4 linked regions of the Oryza sativa Japonica Group genome follow. The protein of the gene in region 1 binds, or shares a complex with, the protein of each later gene. Links are inferred from orthologs where the notes say so. Each region holds a gene or a part of one and is shown in the gene's direction. Other genes may lie near its edges. The genes, in order: probable mediator of RNA polymerase II transcription subunit 26b, mediator of RNA polymerase II transcription subunit 18, mediator of RNA polymerase II transcription subunit 28 and mediator of RNA polymerase II transcription subunit 16.

The links.
Region 2: probable mediator of RNA polymerase II transcription subunit 26b (region 1) and mediator of RNA polymerase II transcription subunit 18 share a complex: the UniProt entries of both Arabidopsis thaliana proteins name them as parts of the mediator complex. The link is inferred for Oryza sativa Japonica Group from reciprocal best matches to the Arabidopsis thaliana genes AT5G05140 and AT2G22370.
Region 3: probable mediator of RNA polymerase II transcription subunit 26b (region 1) and mediator of RNA polymerase II transcription subunit 28 share a complex: the UniProt entries of both Arabidopsis thaliana proteins name them as parts of the mediator complex. The link is inferred for Oryza sativa Japonica Group from reciprocal best matches to the Arabidopsis thaliana genes AT5G05140 and AT3G52860.
Region 4: probable mediator of RNA polymerase II transcription subunit 26b (region 1) and mediator of RNA polymerase II transcription subunit 16 share a complex: the UniProt entries of both Arabidopsis thaliana proteins name them as parts of the mediator complex. The link is inferred for Oryza sativa Japonica Group from reciprocal best matches to the Arabidopsis thaliana genes AT5G05140 and SFR6.

Annotation. Positions count from the first base shown.
Region 1 is NC_089039.1:20,347,134-20,351,965, reverse strand, and holds the start of probable mediator of RNA polymerase II transcription subunit 26b, read left to right. Parts: upstream 1-1,905; 5' UTR 1,906-2,730; coding exon 2,731-3,321; intron 3,322-3,421; coding exon 3,422-3,490; intron 3,491-3,579; coding exon 3,580-3,662; intron 3,663-3,913; coding exon 3,914-3,969; intron 3,970-4,064; coding exon 4,065-4,189; intron 4,190-4,294; coding exon 4,295-4,322; intron 4,323-4,403; coding exon 4,404-4,783; intron 4,784-4,832. UniProt on the Arabidopsis thaliana protein: Component of the Mediator complex, a coactivator involved in the regulated transcription of nearly all RNA polymerase II-dependent genes.
Region 2 is NC_089036.1:5,237,786-5,242,515, forward strand, and holds mediator of RNA polymerase II transcription subunit 18, read left to right. Parts: upstream 1-1,575; 5' UTR 1,576-1,768; intron 1,769-1,849; 5' UTR 1,850-1,879; coding exon 1,880-1,915; intron 1,916-3,079; coding exon 3,080-3,179; intron 3,180-3,250; coding exon 3,251-3,308; intron 3,309-3,386; coding exon 3,387-3,743; intron 3,744-3,835; coding exon 3,836-3,947; 3' UTR 3,948-4,135; downstream 4,136-4,730. Other genes in the region: brefeldin A-inhibited guanine nucleotide-exchange protein 1, read right to left, coding at 310-1,295. UniProt on the Arabidopsis thaliana protein: Component of the Mediator complex, a coactivator involved in the regulated transcription of nearly all RNA polymerase II-dependent genes.
Region 3 is NC_089039.1:3,231,848-3,236,260, reverse strand, and holds mediator of RNA polymerase II transcription subunit 28, read left to right. Parts: upstream 1-1,320; 5' UTR 1,321-1,392; coding exon 1,393-1,585; intron 1,586-1,983; coding exon 1,984-2,096; intron 2,097-2,955; coding exon 2,956-3,090; 3' UTR 3,091-3,447; downstream 3,448-4,413. Other genes in the region: U1 small nuclear ribonucleoprotein A, read right to left, coding at 3,833-4,123. UniProt on the Arabidopsis thaliana protein: Component of the Mediator complex, a coactivator involved in the regulated transcription of nearly all RNA polymerase II-dependent genes.
Region 4 is NC_089044.1:19,707,051-19,711,648, forward strand, and holds the start of mediator of RNA polymerase II transcription subunit 16, read left to right. Parts: upstream 1-1,435; 5' UTR 1,436-1,693; coding exon 1,694-2,118; intron 2,119-2,804; coding exon 2,805-2,873; intron 2,874-3,055; coding exon 3,056-3,144; intron 3,145-3,314; coding exon 3,315-3,427; intron 3,428-3,611; coding exon 3,612-3,713; intron 3,714-4,164; coding exon 4,165-4,252; intron 4,253-4,350; coding exon 4,351-4,598. UniProt on the Arabidopsis thaliana protein: Component of the Mediator complex, a coactivator involved in the regulated transcription of nearly all RNA polymerase II-dependent genes.

The DNA of each region.
Region 1 (4,832 bases):
AACCCCTCAACCAAATTCCCAAAGGCAGCAACAAATGGGTGGAAGATGTGTGACGCCCTGAACGGCCCAGGGAAAGAAAGAAACACATATTCCGTGGACAGCGAAACCAAGAAACACATAAAAATAAATCGAAGAAAGCAAGGAACACGTGTCACTCTCGAGTCGGGTATCCATCCGCTGAGCAGCGCAGCCAACGAGATGCGAGTGTCTGGGTTTTCTTGGAAACAACCGCATAAATCCGGGTGAAAAAACAAAAAAGAAAACAAACCGTGGACCATATATATCAACCGTTAGTGGGAGTAAAAGAAAGTACTTTAGGAAAAAAAGCGTTAGTAAACTTTTCTAAATGTGGCACGCTATAACTGAGTCAATTTTCTATAAGACATAACTATCACCTGATTAAATGAAACGGTTGATTACTTGTTAGGAATTTTACACTAATAAACATAGAGTACTCTACTCTACTAATGATAGTGTACACAGACCTAAAGATAAAAGGAAAATATAAAGTCCTTATCGGACACTAAACACACTTTTCTAAAGATAAAAAGGAAACTAACAAACTATTCCTAATTAATAGATAAACTGCCATGCCGCATCCTCTTTAAACTCGGTCACTTAGAGATAAGCTTCCTTTAGTAGATTGATTTCCTTAACCGAATATAGCAGGAATTCGACTATTGGTGACTTGATAACTCTCATCGGCTGATTCCGAGATGCTACAGCCGATAATGATTCTAAGCCGATGACGCCTTTGTCGATTATCAAATTTCACTGTTAATAGATAGCTCAGTTTTTTATAAATAGAAAGGAGTATTTGCCGCCTAAATATTTTCTTTGATGATACAGCGTATATTGCTAATCAATCTTGATCGCCATTTACTAATCCAAGATTTCGCTACTACATTAGCACCTTGTTTTGAAAAGGATGCTAAAAGTACTCCATTCTTTTTCTATTCAAAAAAGAAGAAGCTATACAGAGCATAAATATTTCTTTGATCCTACGGTGTACTACTGTGCTATACTATATCAAACCATCGATTGGCATTTACTAATCCAATACTATTTCCTCGCACCATGTTTCGAAAATGATGCCAAAAATAGTCCATTGGGCCTCAACAATTAATAGTACTCCTAAAGCACATTCTCCATTCCATAAAAAAACCACCCTATTACCGAAACGTGACACATTCTAATACCACAAATATATTTATATAGATACAATCCAAGTTTACTTTTTAAAATTTGAGTGGCCTACGGCGGCTACGGTTGCATGCACGTATTTTCTTGGTTCCATAAAAAAAATAACATAGTGTTGAACGTCTATTCAGATTTATAGTATTAAAATATATCATATTTCGTACTAATTTAGTCTTTTATAGAATTGAGAGAGTACTCTATTCATCTAAAAATGGACAATCCTTCGTAAGTTGAGTTTTTCTTTTGGGATGGAGGTGGGTACGTGCATACAACTGGTTCACATACTATAGACACTTATATATGAAACAAATAAGAGGATGATCCTATTATATAATAACAGTGATATTATGGTAGATGATGCTCACCTACCCAAGTTTGAAAACTAAACTTGAATTAAGTGGATATCAAACGGGAATCATTAGCCCAATAAACAAAAAACGAATGCTACTATTACCAACCAAACACTACAGGAAAGAGTAGTACTAGTCCCACTCCCACCAACAACAGTTGAGATCCTCTCCAGTACTGCATGTGCCGTACTGCTCACTAATATGTGGGCCCGAGGGGCTATAGGGCTCACATGTCAGGGAGCCTACTGCATGAGAGGACCTGCATCCCACCAACAACTCGACAGGGTCAAAGCCGAGAAACAGCCACGAGGCCGCCTCCCTCTCCAAAACCGTAGTGACCTCGCCCTGTGTGGCTGTGTCCCCAAACCCGGTAAAAAAAAGGGCCCCCCCGGAAAGTCCTAGACCGAGAAAAGCTGCGACCTCCGTTGCGCGAGAGAGAGAACGAGACGAACGGAAGGAGTTGGGAAAGGGAGACGCGAGATTTGTTGTTACCACTAGGAGGCCATGGTGGTGGTGGTGGTGTGCGTGCGGGGGAATTAGGAGGAGGAGTAGTTGTTGTTGTTTGGTAGAGTCGAGCTTGCGTAGTTCTCGTGGGCTCTCGTTTTTGCGTTGCGTGTGCCTCGCCATCCGCCGCGTCCCTATCCAACCCCCCTCCCCGCATTCCCTCTCCCCCTCGTCGTCGTCGTCTTCCTCCTCCTGCGGCGGCGACGGCACAGATAAGATTTGGTTAGGAGCTGTTTTGTTTGTTGGGTTGAAATCGTCAAGTAACGTGGACGTGGGGGTGAAGCAAAGGAAGGGAGGGGAGATTGGGTTTGGGTGGTGTGAGGATTGATTTGTTTTTTTTTTTTGGGGTTTTCTCTTCTTGATTGATTCGTTCTTGGCGTTGAGGAGAGGCAGCGGTGTTCGTTAGATTGATTTTTCGCTGTCTCGGGAGAATTTCGCTTTCCCGGTTGGGGGATTCCCTCGGTGGGGGGCATCTGATTCGCGATCGGGTTGGATTAGATTCTTTTGGTGCAACGTAATCTGATAAGGGGAAAAAGAAATTTCAAGATTGTGAGGAGGAGGAGGAGGAGGTGATCGAGAGAGGGCATCGATTCTTGGTGGTGCCAGGGGAGCCATCGGAGTCGTGGGGGTGGAGGTGGAGGTGGGGGGAGCCCGATCTCGGGTGGCCGCGGCGGCGATGGCCGACCGGCTGGATCGGTGGCGCGAGCTCCTCCGCGGGGCGGCCGGCTCCGCCGGAATCTGCGACGTGATCGAGAACGCCATCCTCGTCGCCGCCGCCGACGCGCCGCAGGAGCTCCTGCGCCGCCGCGACCGCATCTGCGAGATCCTCTTCACCGCGCCGCGCGCCCCGCCCTGCCACCACGGGTGCGGCAGCGCCGCCACCCCGACCCCGGCCACCCCCGTGGAGGAGGACAAGGGCAGCGTGCGCCGCGTCCCCGAGAAGCAGAGCAAGGTGGACAGCAGCAGCAACGGCGCCCTCGGCGGCGGCGGCGGCCGCCGCGACGACGTCGATGACGACTCTGACTCTGACTCCGACGACGAGCGCCTCCGCCGCGCCGCGGCGAGCAACTACGGTCACAACTACGATGATGACGACGAGGAGGAAGAGGAGGAGCAGGAGGCGGCGCCGGCTGAAGAGGACGAAGAACAAGAGCTGGACCCCGAGGCTGTGGAGCTTGAGGCACTCACCAACGAGATCGACGAGGAGTCACAGGTCGTCGGCGAGGTTCTCCGCATCAAGGACCTCTTCTTGCACAAGGAAGATCATGTATGATGAACTATTCCCAGCTTTCAGTTCTTCCATGAGTAAGAGTTGTGCCATTCCTCAACAGGGACTTAACATTTGATCTCAACTGTGGTTTTCGCAGTCGGATGCTACTTTGTTCGAATCACTGAGGAGGCTGCAGCTGATGCAATTGTCCGTTTCCACGCTGAAGGTACTGTGTTGGATAGCGCATATGAGCTATGCGGAGTGACGCATAGTGGTTCTGTTTGGTTTGCTAATCTCCGATGTTGTTTGTTGTAGGCTACTGAGATTGGGAGGGCTGTTAATGGGCTGCGGAAGCACAACTCGCAGCAAATTCGTCACCTTGTGCGCACTCTCATTGAGTAAGTTCAATATGCTTGCACTAAATTTCATTCTCTAGGGCTGATCTAGCTTTTAATTTAGAGAACTTGCTGAAGCAAATTGATACTCTACTGTACCTATAAGTTTCTGAAAACATGATACGAGTCTACTGATTTAGCTTCTGTATTCTCCAGTCTTTGTACTACTTGAGTGAATTATTTACCTTATTTGTAGTGTGGTTATTAACCAATTTTGGAAACATTGTTGACGTCTTAAAACATTTTTTTTTCAGAGGTTGGAAAATTTTGGTTGATGAGTGGGTCAGCACCACTAATGTTGCCCTTACAGGTAATAAAAGTTATTTTGTTTCATATCGCGTATGAGTCATCAATTTGTAAGTGAATGTTCACCTCTTAACATGTAATGGATCTTTTGATCTGTAGACAACTCCCCGGGCTCTTCAAAAACATCTGTTGTCGATGATGCTGATGATGAAGGGCTTCCTTCTCCACCTCTGGATGAAGGGGCGTTCTTTGCAACCCAGACTACTGCTATTCAACTCTCTGAGGTACTAATTTTTGTTTGTTCCTGGTATCTGGATTGTTTTGGTCCAGAACACAATTCTAACTTTGCATTGTTGTTTTTCTTTCTGCTTCATCTTCCTGACCTAAAGTTCTTTGATGAAATGGATGAAGATGGAAGTAAGTACAACAACTCAAATTACATAGTTTCCCTTTTTTTTCTGTGCACTATAATAATTCAAGTTATACATTTTATGACAGACTTGAGACATAACAATGATGGGAGCCTTGGAAATAAGAGAGAAAATTATGGCAGGAGGCCTACAAGCCATCCAGCTTTGACAAAGCAAGAGCCTCCCCGTAACATGGGAGCTGTTGAAAAAGTTCAATCCAGGAGGCCGGAATTGGCAAGGCAAGAGCCATCAATGAGGCAGGCTAACCCACAAACCCCTCAAAATTCAAGTTTGCAAGTCAAACAGCAGGCCATGCTTCACAAGCAATCTAAGCCCTTGAGTTCTGATTCTGGACCTGGGAGACCATTAAGGGCAGCTCCTCAGCAGAAGCCCTTTGTTGAGATGAAATCTAGACTGGCTCGAGAGCAGGTTGCTGTTGAAAGAAAACCTGCAGCGAGCCATGTGGATGTAAGTATATATGCTATTACTAAGGCCTAATAGTATGATAATCCTCAGA
Region 2 (4,730 bases), on another chromosome or scaffold:
CATTAAAAAAATATAGCCAAAATGTTGACACATCCAAGCAGATAATAGTAAAGCGTGCCTGGATTGTGAAAATAATGTATTAGTATCAGAAAAATGTGTATCCATAATTTCTGAGTTACTACTAGGCAAACATGAAGCCTCCATATCAATTACTATACTGAACATTTTATGCCTTCCTTCCCTTAGTCATTTAAGCCATCTGCATTCTTCTAAATCACTGCAACAACAATATTTATATAGATAGGCAACACAGCAAGTTGAGCTGTTAAAATGCACAGAAGTAAGACAATAATGAGTATCATATCATACTTTTCATTCGTTCTCCAGAATGCCCCAGCATTGTCGATAACCATCTTGAGCAACTCAAGAGACAACACCTTCCCGCGCAGCAGGACCTGATCTTCGGGATTATCCGGCGTCGAGAACTTCATGGACAGCTTGCACAGGTTCTTGAACAGTGTCAACCCATCCTCCCTGATCTTGCTCATGACAACATCCTCCTTCCCATCCGTCTCGGCCGGCTCAACCGGGGACCCCGGCTCAGGGACATCGCTTCCCTCCATCGTCTCGTTTATGAAGCTCTGCGCCGCATGGACAATGCTGGAGTCATTCAGGTTGCGGTCAGACATGTCCATCATGTCGGTGATCGACACCGTGCGCACGCGCACATCCATGGAGTCCACCTCCACGCGCGCGAACACGATCACCAGCACCTGCGCCAGCGCCAGCTTAGCGCAGAGCTGGTTGGCGCCGCTGCTGCTACTGAGGTATATGTTGTAGCAGGTCTTGAGCATCTGGCCGAGCCCTTCCCCGCGGATGGCGACGGAGGGGCACCGCGCGGCGGCCACGAGGACGCGGAGGGTGGAGAGCTCCATGGCGTCGTCGGCGAGCGCGCCGCAGGAGAGCACGGCGGCGAGCAGCTTGGAGGACGGGGAGTCGTCGTCGCCGCCGCCACCGCCGAGATCACCGACGAGGAGGCGGTGGTAGAGCAACTTGGCGACGCAGTCGAGCGCCGGGTCGGCGACCTTGGGGGACGCCGACTCGAGCGCGAGGAGGAGCGCGTGGATGCACGCGTCCGCGGCGGCCGCCGGCAACCCGAGCAGCAGCGACGGCGGCGACGGCGCCGACGCCGACGCGTACGCCGACGAGGAGAGCAGGTCGAGCGCCGCCTTGGCGGCCGCCACGAGGCCCGAGTGCTTCCGCCACGCCGCGTTCTTGATGATCCGGTCCAGCGCAGGGCCCAGCACCCGCCCCGACGGCGACGCGCCGCCGATTGCCCCCGCCGGCGAGGCCATAGTTAGCCGTCCACGCAGACTCTCACGCGCTCTACGCGGTGGTCGTCGCCGTCGCCGTCGCGGCCATTGGATCTGAGACCTCGAGACGAGGAGGAGGTGGAAGAAAATGGGAATTCGAGAGGAAGACGAGACGAGCGCGTGGGGGAGGAAGAGGAAGAGGAGAAGTCAGAGGAAGGGTATGACTGAAATTTCAGATTCTTCCAGGGGCCTAGATGCAAAAACGCCGCGACCCTTCGCGCGGGGGTGAGGCATTTTATCACTTTACCCCCCTCGGTTTCTCGGAATTCTTTCTTCTCGTCTCCATCGCTGCAGGAGGAGGAGGCGGCGGAGGACGGCGAGCGGTCAGTGGCGGAGAGGGGAGTGTTCGGGGACGCGGGGTTTGCGAGGTGGGGGGAGCTCTTGCGCCTCGGATCGGCTCACTTCCCGACGCCTCAGCCCCCGCCGCGCCGCGGATTATTGCTGTTAGGTTAAAGGTGGGGGTGAATTTTTGTTGCTGCGAGGTAGCTGTTCGACGAAATTCCGCAGCGTGGTTTCAGGGTTTGTCTCTCTTGCAGGGATTGTGGTAGCGAGAAGCGGTGGGGTTGATGGAGTGCGTGGTGCAGGGGATCATCGAGACCCAGGTTATTGTTCTTCTTTCTCACTTCGCCAGTAGACTTGTATGAGTGGTGACTGTGTGAGCGGTTGTTGAAGTGAACGGTAGTTTCTTCCGAGAATGAGTGATCTGTAGCTATGCAACGATGCATTTTTGTTCATATGAAACTGATTTGTCTGTTTATGCTGTAAAACATGACCAATTTGAACTTTTACCCGGAAAATCATACATGGCCCGTAACATAAGCCGGAGTGATGGTAGATGTGATGTTCTTCATGGATTCTTGATTTTTGTATGATGGTAGGCCTTTCTGGGAAATCGGTACTAGTCAAGTTTGCTGATCTGACATTTGCGCTCCTTACTTGTATGTTGTATCTAGAATTCTGAATTTTATTTAATTTTTGGCATAAGGTTATTTGGCCTTTCGCTTTGTAGTAACCTTATCCAAAGGAGTTGGAATGTAGAATTTCGACGTTTACTAAATGAACTTTCTATCACTTGATTTAAGATAGCATTTTTGTTGTTGGAGGTGTCAATTGCCTGAAAACAGACCTCTGTAAATGTAATTGTGATAAAACCTTTTGAAAGGTAACACTTAAGCTATCCCAGGTAGCAAATCTATCAACTGCATAGCCCCAATGTCAAATTACATCTCAATAGTCCTACTTAGGAACAAAGTTATTTTTTCACTCCATATAGCATGAAGTAGTATTGGAACTTTATGTCCATAGAGAATTTCTTTTTTCTTGAACGAAACACATCAGGGAATAGAGAATAATAATTCATGCCAGCATTAAGACTTTGTCGTCGATCCATTGTCTCTATATGACCTTTTGTTAGTCTCTTATAGCTTCCTCTTGTCAGCATATCAACACTTCCCTTCAGGATAATAAAAAAAAAGTATACAGTTGATCATGCTGACCACTATATGGTCAACCATGTTTCTCCACTCTGAGGGCACTACTTCTGCCACTTGCAGACTTTTTTTGATTCTCTTTTCAATATGTTGATATGGTTCTATTTTATATACAATTGGAGGAATCATATCACTTATATGGTTTGTAATTTTACAATAAAGGGATTAATTTATATACACATGTCAATGTCTTGTGCTTAGAACACCATTTAACCTTTTTTAGTTTTCATTGCTTTGACATCAGTGTAACTTTTGGTTGATCTTCTTGTTATGCAGCATGTTGATGCTCTTGAGGTTCTTCTCCAGGGCCTCTCTGGTGTCCCAAAAGAACGTGTCAGAGTGCATGAGCTCTGTCTTAAAAGTGGGCCAAATCTAGGTCAGTTTGCAACTTTTTCATTATTCTGATCATATGCCATTGTTACTCATATACATCTTCCAATCATACAGGAGTTGTCCCATCAGAGGTTCGTTTATTGTGTGACTTAGCTCAGTCCACGCCATCCTGGTAACTTTTCTTTCAGCTGCTAAAATTTACATTTTTGTGATATTTGATGATATTCTGAATCCAGTAGTATTCATGTAGGACCATAAGACATGTTGGAGGTGCCATGAGAGGTGCTGGTGCAGAGCAAATCTCAGTCCTTGTGCGGTCAATTGTAGAGAGCAAAGCCAGCAACAATGTATTGCGTTACTTCTACGGTATAGGGTACAAGTTAGATCATGAAGTTCTGAAGGGAGGATTTGCATTTCGTTTCCACCGAGGTGCCCAGATAACTGTGACCGTTACCTCTGTTAGCAAGATGACAAAACTCCATGCTACCAACGAAGCTGTGCCAATCACTCCTGCAATACAGCTAGTGGAAATCACGGCCCCTGCTGCTGCTGACAATTACAACGATGTCGTTTCAGCCGTCACTTCGTTCTGTGAATATCTAGCACCGTAAGTAACTAAGTGTTCCTTAGCTATCTCAAGATTATTACTAGACTGGCATAAACGAATTTTCTCACTTTTGACTGCAAAACACACTGCAGGCTTCTGCATCTCTCTAAACCAGGCAATTCGACTGGAATCGTCCCGACTGCAGGCGCTGCTGCCGCCTCACTCATGTCAAGTGGTGGTGGTGGTGGTGGTAAAACGTTGTGATCGGTCATATGTGTTGGCTGCAATGCCATGATGATCTCCATTGACCATCCCACTTAAAACATTGTTGCCATCTTTAGTTCTGTAACTTTTAGTCAGTAGCACCATGGTTTTTCTTGTAATGACATGCTAAATGCTGCCTACCTTGCTTTGGAGACTGGTAAATGAACACTGATCATTGCTTGCTTTTACTGAAGAGTGGAAACTGAATGCTGGGAAAGCTTGACGATATTGGTGGTAGACTGATAGCTGGAGTTTGTCATGATCCTGACAATATATTTGATGGTAGCTTTGTTTACTTTAATTTAGGTCACATACGTGGTAAGGATCTCATGGTTTGGGACGTTCAATTGCCCAGTAGTTTTTCTCTAGTTAATTAGTGTGCATCAAACTATTTTCTCTAGTTATTATGTAAGTCTAGCAGTCAAGTTACCAGAAATCAGAATACACTGCATGCATTACTTGCATAGTCAACAAAGTATCTCAATGACAACTGATCTTCCTAAAAGTTGCTGCAAAACGAAACAAAGCCGGAGTAACTAGAGAGGAGGGGAGAGAGCTAGGTTGCTGACAACTTGACGAGATCAACTCATCCTGATGCTCAGTGCAGGATGAAGTGCCATCTCCTCCTGCTCTTCCAGCTCCAGCTCCTTTACAGTTTACATGCATCTTCTTCCTCAGATTTCTTTGGGATCCCTATTCCTCATTTGCCTGGTGATTTATGATATGGAAAGCATCGAGTGTACATAGCTGGACCTACACTGTGAATGATAATACCAACATTCT
Region 3 (4,413 bases), about 17 Mb from region 1:
CACCTCGTTTTGCGTGAAACACTTAATCTTCATCTTCAGGAGATTCAAACACTACCTAATCATTTTTTTATTTGACTATCAATTTAGATTTGATCTTTTAAATATTAAGAAATTTAAGGGGCAACTTACAAAATTTACAATGAGGGTAGGTATGATGACATATTCACTATATGACATATCTCCGTTTTTTTTTTTGAAGAAGTATAGATTAGACCAATTGACTAGCCGACTGGGTACATCGGTCGTACTCCCCAAAATGGCACCAACCTAACCTAATGCTATATTAGATTCTGCTATAACTTATAATCAACTAAGGAGTATATTACATCAATAAAAGAAATATCTACCGATAACATTAAGTTAATTGTGACTATCACTGATCGATTAATTAGATGTATTTATGACAACCGCATGCATACGTGTCGAGCAGCAAAGAAGTGTGTTCACTTTTATGCTACAGTAAAAAAATCAGAAAGTCACGAAGTCAAGCAATATATGTTGCCATATTTGATGTTTAACACAAGATTAAATACACAAACATAAAGATAAATGGGACTTAAACAATATGCATAGGAAAAAAAATATTAGCATTTCATGTTTCTTTTTTCTAAAATACAACGGAAATTCACTGACTCCATATGTTCATATTGTAATCTAAGTTTATCTTTCAGTTAAACTTCTCTAACACCGGTTGGCTTTATAAAAAAAAATACAAAATCTGTAACACCAAATTAGTTTAATTAGATTCATCATGAAATATGTCTTTATTGCATTTATTTATTATTTTATATATTGGTGCATTTTATTCAAACTCAGACAATTAACTTAGAAAAAAATATTTATAGACCTAGAATTTTTCCCAAATAGAATTCCAGATTTATTTTCCAAATAGAAATATCATAAATATCATTATATATATATATATATATATGTATATATATATATATATGTATATATATCTATATATCTAATAAATCAAACTAAGTCTAAATAACTCTAAAACATTTATACATCCTAACAAAGGTATAAATATTTACAGGGTACTTTTAAGCTATGTTCTTCCCCCCATTTTCCCAACCCACCTATCTTGTTTTCCACGTGTACGCTTTTCAAACTGCTAAACGGTGTGATTTATAAAAAAACTTTATATATAGAAGTTGTTTAAAAAAATCATATTAATCTATTTTTTAAAATAAAATTAGATAATACTTAATTAATCATGCAATAAAATAAACTTCGTTTTGCGTGGCAGGAGGAGGGGTTCCCAAGCCCCTCCTCTGAACACAGCCTTAGTAGGTGCGCCAGGCGCACCCATTTTCTAGTAGTTTTTGGAAGAAGGGTTTCATTGCAATTTTGCGATCCCCACCTCTCTCTCTCTCGTCTCTCGCTCTCATGGCCGAGCCGCCGTCGCAGTCGCCGGCGCAGACGCCGCCGCAGGCGGCGCAGCAGCAGCAGCAGGGGCCCGGGGAGAGCGCGCGCGACGACATGATGGCCTGCGTGGCGGCGCTGGAGGCGGCGCTGCTGCCCTGCCTCCCCGCGCGCGAGCTCCAGGCCGTCGACCGCTCCCTCCAATCCTCCCACCAGAGTACGTCGGACTCACTGAGACTGACCCCGCCGCTCCCCCTCTCTCCTCCCTCTGCAGCCTCCCTTCCCCGTCGTTCTTGCGCTTCCCCCGGCCAAGATTTGGCGCGGCTGGTTTGGTTCGACTCGCCCGCCCGCCAGGTGTTCGCTGTTTTGCCTACGAGGTGGGGATTAGGAAGCCCCTCGTGCTCTAGCAAAATGTGGCGAAGTTATTTTTTCTTTTTACTTGCGCTGTTGGTACGCGGGCGTCTCGCGGGTGCTGAGATGAGATTGAGAGGGTGGCATTTGAGCGTTCTACATCTGTGTGCTCAACTGTCGATGTAGAAATTGGATTCTTTTGCTTTGTTGCTGGTTAGCAAAATAGGGATTCTAAGGTGTTGTGGTTGTTATAATGTGGAACAGTTGATGTTGAGAGGCACGCGAGGGATTTCATGGAGGCTGCGAAGAAGCTCCAGTCTTACTTCATCAGCCTGCAGCGCGAGGACCGACCGTCGACAGAAGAAATGCTTCGAAAGGTACATTGCATTGCTTTCGGAACAACTTTGCTTCGAAAGGTACTCCTTGACTTCGAAATGATTAGCAAATTAGAACTTTGTGATTAGCAAATTAGCCTGTAGGTAGAACTAGGACCTTGTTTGGGGGAGCTTAAGATTTTGAGAAGCAATTGGTTGGTAGTCAGTTTATGAGAATATGAAGAAGCTGGAAAGTTAGGTTTCTTGTTTCTAGTTTATTTTCTGTATTCTTTAACTACATCTTCTCAGAATCTAGATGAAAAGCTGAACTGTTTGAGTGAGCTTTTAATTTTAGGAAAAGCTGCAGCTGCCAAAAGCTCCCTCAAACATGCCCTAGGTTGGGTAAGCACAGAGTAACGATTTGACACCAGAGTACACAGACATGGGAGGCTGAGAGCTTGGGGATGGCGAGGGAAAAGGTCTAAAAAATATTCAATTTTCAAAGATAAGGGCTTGAGTTTGTCTCTTTTACAGTCTTGAATTGACTGGGCCAGCTCTAAATCAGTCCCGTATTGTTAGCACTAATTCTCTGAGATGTCTAATTGAAGTTTTTTTTCTGTGTTAGTACTCGTTGTGCTCAACATTTTAGAGTGCTTGAGATCCAATGGTTTTTAATATTTGGCCCATCAATAAGTTTAAAGCTATCTAGATTGGTTGTATAAAATCCATTTGACCCTCTCTTTGAAATCAATTATATTGATGTTATATTGCAACCGTTGTAAAAAAAAAATTGTGCATCGATTTTTCTCTATAAGCTTCATGGGAGAAATCAAGAGAAATCCTATATGGCGTGGTCCCCAAGCTGTAATAATCAAATAATAATGTGTCATCATGTTTTAACATGTCCAGTTTCGGTTTGCAGGATATTGCTATAATGGAGGAAGAGCTGAAGACCAAGTCCGAGCTCATCGACAAACATAAGAAGCTCATCGAAGGGTGGCAGAAAGAGCTGAAGGACCAGCTGGGAAAGCATGTTACTGAACTCGAAAGAGTGTGACACCACTGTCTTCCATGAAATGTCCCAGGCTCCTTCCGATGATCAACCTGAGTAGCCCAGTGCTGGGCTATGCCTTGGAGATTTTGAGTACGCCAGCCAGGAAAAAAAAAACACCACAACAATGTTTTAGGATCTGACCAGTTTGCCGAAGACGAACAAATTGCGCTGTATTAATGTTCGTTGCTATGTTCGGTTTATCATAATATTATTGTTCGTAGTTTCTCGTGTGCTCTCCATCTCATCGTGTTAGGCATGCCTAACATGTTAAACTTTTAGATTTTTCGGAGCAACATCTTTTTCCCGATTATAGGAGTGTATGATAACATGTGTGTTCAATGGAATTGTCTAATTGCCTCACTTGTCATTTTAGATGTTTCTTTCAACATATTAATGATTTAATGGTAATTGAATCCCACAGTTGCTGTCAGGTGACCATGGTGACACAACTACACAAGTATGACTATGAGATGGTAAATATTTTAACGAGGCTAACAGCAATAGCATAAATGTAAATCGTCTCAAGCTGCCATATTTTACACAAGGGAACACGAGTGGAACTAACTAGGAGAACTCACGACTGCAAAGATGGTTCAAATTTCATCTCATTCCTGAAACACACACGGGCAGCTGAGCAGTAGTACATTAACATGGTTGTCATGGTGTAGTCTACCTAACAATGAAAATCTATGGATTATGCGAAAACTTGGGACTACAACATTCATCGAGCAAGTCAATAGTACATTTACTTCTTCGCATACGAGATAAGCATCTGGTTATCTTTCGTAATTTTGAACCCCTGAAGATGGTTCATGGCAGCGGTAGCCTGCCCCTCGTCGCCGTACTCCACGAAAGCAATCCCAGGCTTTGCTTCAACCATTCTGACTTCCTTGAACCCTGGGTACTGACAGAAGAGCATCTGAAGCATCATAGGGGTCGTCTCATGTGGGAGGTTTTGGACGAAGAGGATGTTATTCGGTACAATTATCTCCGGCATCATGACCTTCTGTGCGCCAGCAAAAGGTAGCTGAGAGAGCTGCACAAAACAGTGAGCCAATGAATCGAAGGAATCCAAAAGTAGTGGGCCCAAGAAAAATATAAGGCAGAAATAGGGGCGTTTAAATGTGCAACATGCTTACTGTACAAACAGTGGTCTTTATGCTTGTGATTATTGTTTGCCGTGGTCATTTGTATTAGTTTTCTTTGTTAGCATTATATTCGATCTATAGTTTGGATGATTATCTTCCTTTAGTTGAACACGTTAAGAGACTTTCTTAAGGGTATAAACAAATGCATCCCTACAGAAGTGATTGTTGCCTCCACTTA
Region 4 (4,598 bases), on another chromosome or scaffold:
TGCATATGGGCCGTACAAGGGCTCATGGGCCTGTTTGGCTCGTGTTTGGGCCCATCGCCTGACCTTCCCTTCTTTTGGGTTGGGTTTCTTTGGATTTATTTTTAAGATGGGCTTGTTGTTTTATCGACTTATTTGTTGCGAATAAAATCTTACCGTGCCGTATCATCAATTTCATAGGTCATGACTCTGCTGCATCTATTGGAAAAAAAACATATTTATATTGTATAAACAAAGAAAACATGCGTAGTTAGGATGGGCTATCGACGATCACGACAACAATGATAATAACCTAAATAGAGAGCTAGAGATTCTTATAAAGATTCTTATAAGACGCTTGTGATTAGTCGGCTGATGATAATCTGAAAGGGTTAAGTTTCAAGTTTCTAGCTCCAAGTTCATAATCTCAATTTTTATGTACATATATGTGCTAGCACACTACAATTTCTATATGTACATAAAAATCGAGACAATGATGTAATGAAAGTTGTGGCCTAGAGAGATATCATTTAAAGTAAAATGATGGAATAATACAATTTAATTAAAGATTCGATACATAAACAATTGATGAAATTTGTAACCGAGGGAGATAAATTTTAACTGAAATTGTCAAACTATAAATCTGACGAAAGATTCATTCAAATTCCCAAAAAGGCATACATTCACTCATTTTATCTGCCTTGGTGCCAAATTTAACGAAATTTATGTACCCAGTTTCAAATAAATAGACGACTATCCCCATTTTCTTACAAGTTACAATCCACCGCAAGACCACAACACCAAGATTACCCGCCTCCATGCCAATTTCAATGAAATTCGTGTATCCAATTTTAAATAGACAGACAACACTCTTTATTTCGTTACAAGTTAGTACATCTAGGTACTATACAAGAGTAATATTGGAGTGTGTAAAAAACTGCCGTAGATTTTTTAAGTGTAAAACTTCGAGATTAAATTATATTATAATTGAAGTATAGTTGTACTGTAACTGTATTGTAACTACGGTATAACTTATATAAAACATGTATTTAACCGTGGTTTGGCTGACTAGCACCGAGATCTTGCACATAACATGTATGATATTTTTGTAGCAATGTTATCTCTTGAATGTACAAATCTCCAGTAACCCGATGACCATAAATCTGAAAGTTTTGAGAGAAAAAGGGTGTGTTTAGTTCACGCTAAAATTAGAAGTTTGGTTGAAATTGAAACGATGTGACAGAAAAGTTAGAAGTTTGTATGTGTAGGAAAGTTTTGATGCGATGGAAAGTTAAAAATTTTTTTAAAAAAGTTTGGAACTAAACTCCACGGAACTTGCAAAAGTTTTCTAGCAATTTCGATCCAAAATTCAACGGAATTCGTACATACCCAGAGCTCACCACTCCCGAAACGCCACCAAAAGACCAAACCCACTCGTTTCCCCTCCCCCCCTCCCTCTGACTCTCTCCCCGTCGTCGTCATCGTCATCGTCGTTCGTCGTCGTCGTCTCCCCTTTCCACGGCCGCATCCCATTCCCCACCCAACCTGAAAGCGACGCCGCCGCAGCGCACACGCAGGAGGCAGCAGCAAAGCGAGGAGGGGAGGAAACCCTCCCCCCGCGACAGCAACGGGCGGTCGCTTCCAGTGACCTAAGCCTCCCCCTCCCCCCCTCGCGCGCGCTTCCCTCCCCTTCGCCTTTTTGTCTCCTCCGCCCCTTATGACCTCTTCCTCCGCCCCAAACCCTAGCCCCCTCGTCCCCACCCCCACCCCCTCTCCCCCCACCGCCAACGCCGCCGCCGCCGCCGCCGGAGCCGTGCCCGTCTCCTCGCCGACGCCGCCGCCCAAGGATCAGCAGCAGGAGGGCCAGGGGGGTGGAGGAGGAGTGGGGGATGGGGGTGGAGTGGAGGAGGTGGGCGTAGGGGGAGGCGAGGCCATGGAGGTGGATGGTGGCGCGGGAGGTGGTGGTGGGGGGGTTGGGGATGTGGAGGGGGGTGGGGGTGGTGGTGGTGCGGGGGGAGGAGGAGGTGGAGGTGGAGGTGGGCAGCAGGCGTCGCCGGCGACCGTGTTCCGGATCCGGCTCAAGCAGCCGCCCTCGAGCCTCCGCCACAAGATGCGCGTGCCCGAGCTCTGCAGGAACTTCAGGTGCGTTTCGAGATTAGTTGTGGTTTTTTTGGGGGTGTTTTTTCTTTCTGGGATTTAAATATGTTGGGGGAAGCTTAGGTGTGATGAATTTAAACCCTGATCTGTTTCAGCTTATTCATCGATTTATTGAAATGGTTTTTTTCCCCCCGAAAGAAATTTTCCTCTACTGTATTGCTTAGACCACTTGTTTTAAGCTATTTGTTAAGTTTGTCTCTCAAAATATCTAATTTATCCCTATAATATATCCATGACAATAATCCACTCAATAATCTAAATCAAACGATCTGGGTTTACTTTTTTTTTCCTCTTCAAATTTGGGTGGCGTTTCAATGATTGGGATGAACAATCTAGTGACTCAAACTTGCAGAAGCATTAGCGTGGGCATGGAATTGTGATTGCTTTGAATGATTGTATCCTGTGCAGGCTTCTACTATACTAGATCAAATACAGTTATAACATGTAGTGTCATTATTTCACATAACTAAGTTTAGTCAGGTCAAACTGGTTACTTTGTTCACCAGTTAGAAAATACCGAACGTGATAACTCCATTTTTAAAATCCACATTATTTTTTTTTGTTTAAAACTGCTTTGATCTTGTAGGATGAGGTTGCCTTGTCTGCTTTAGCCTACACTATATCGGGAACAACTAGTAACTATCTTATCTATGGTTTTTTTTTTATTGCAGTGCAGTTGCTTGGTGCGGGAAGCTCAATGCAATTGCATGCGCATCAGAGACTTGTGCACGCATACCAAGGTATACATTTTTCCATCCTTTCCCTGAAAATTTACTTTCCTCTGACCTTTAGTTATCCATAAATAAGTTTGTTCTGTTAGCTTGTCTTAGTGGGATATTCAACCATTTGGTAGAATTGTTTGCTTACAGTTTCTGGTTATGAAGGTTTCTTTGCCGTAAAACGATCTAATGTATATTTTCAGCTCTAATTCAAGCCCACCATTTTGGATTCCCATACACATTCTAAATCCAGAGAGACCAACAGAATGTTCTGTTTTCAATGTGAAAGCAGGTAATCCATGGCTAAATCTCAATTGTTTTGGTAATGTGATTACGTTATGCATGTGCAAATCACTGTCCATTGGGCATTTTATAGTCAGGTGAAGGGTGAGATTCAAACTCACTTTTGTTTATATACGAGTTTTTCTACCTCCAATCCTAACTCACTGTAATTTTGAACAGATTCTCCACGCGACTTTGTTCAATTCATTGAATGGTCTCCTCGATCATGCCCTCGTGCATTACTGGTGGCAAATTTTCATGGAAGGATTACTATATGGACACAGCCAACTAAGGTACATCTCTACCTTAAGCAAATTTCGGTATGCATATCATTTTTTTTTGTTAGTAGTACCATTGAACTTACTTTGTTAATTTGCGAAACACTCAGGATTTTCTTTTTTCATTTCAAGTCTATATACATATCATGCTGTTTTGTGTTTTTTCTCTAATACTTGTTTCTTTCTTGATATGGTGAAGGGTCCTACTAATCTTGTACGTGATGCCAGTTCCTGGCAATGTGAACACGAATGGCGTCAAGATCTTTCGGTGGTGACTAAGTGGTTGTCAGGAATTTCTCCGGTTTGTTGCCAATTTGCAAACTTACAGTCTGCTTCTCTTGTTTTTGATAATTAGCACTTTACACTTGGAATGCAAATATGCAATACGATTGACCCAGCAGTTTATACAGTCCGCTTCACAATTTAACATTCGAGATTTATATACTTTTCAGTGTCAATTGTTAATCATTATTTTTTTAAAATATAATATTTTATAAAGCAGTGACAATAGACTTGAGTTTAAACTGTTCTAAGATTTTTTCACTGGACATTTATCATAAACAATTGCAACAATTAGGTAAAAAAGATTCTGGCTCAGTTTATGTCTGAGTAAGTACTTTGATCTATTTCAAATGACACTACCTGTGTTTGATTACCCTTTTGGCCTGAAATAAGTGGATCTTAGAATCGAAGGAATATAATTACTAAGCTGTTGCCACGGCTAAATTTGTTTTGTTTCTTTGACTTTGCAGTATAGATGGCTTCCTGCAAACTCTAGTACTTCATCAAACTTGAAAACCTTTGAGGAAAAGTTCCTTACCCAGCAGCCTCAAAGTTCGGGTTGGTTAAACACATATATTACTGAGCATATATTTTTTTTGGAGGAGAAAGCAAGCATGCTTCTTTACGCTACTCTGACATATTGCTGTTTACTGCAGCTGGGTGGCCAAACATTCTATGTGTCTGTTCAGTTTTTTCATCGGGTTCTGTTCAGCTTCATTGGTCACAATGGCCTTCTCAAAACTCAGCACAACCTAGATGGTTTTCTACTAGCAAAGGGCTTTTAGGAGCAGGGCCAAGCGGCATAATGGCTGCTGATGCTATTATTACTGAAACTGGAGCATTACATGTTGCTGGTGTTCCCCTTGTTAATCCATCTACTGTAGTGGTTTGGGAGGTGATGCCA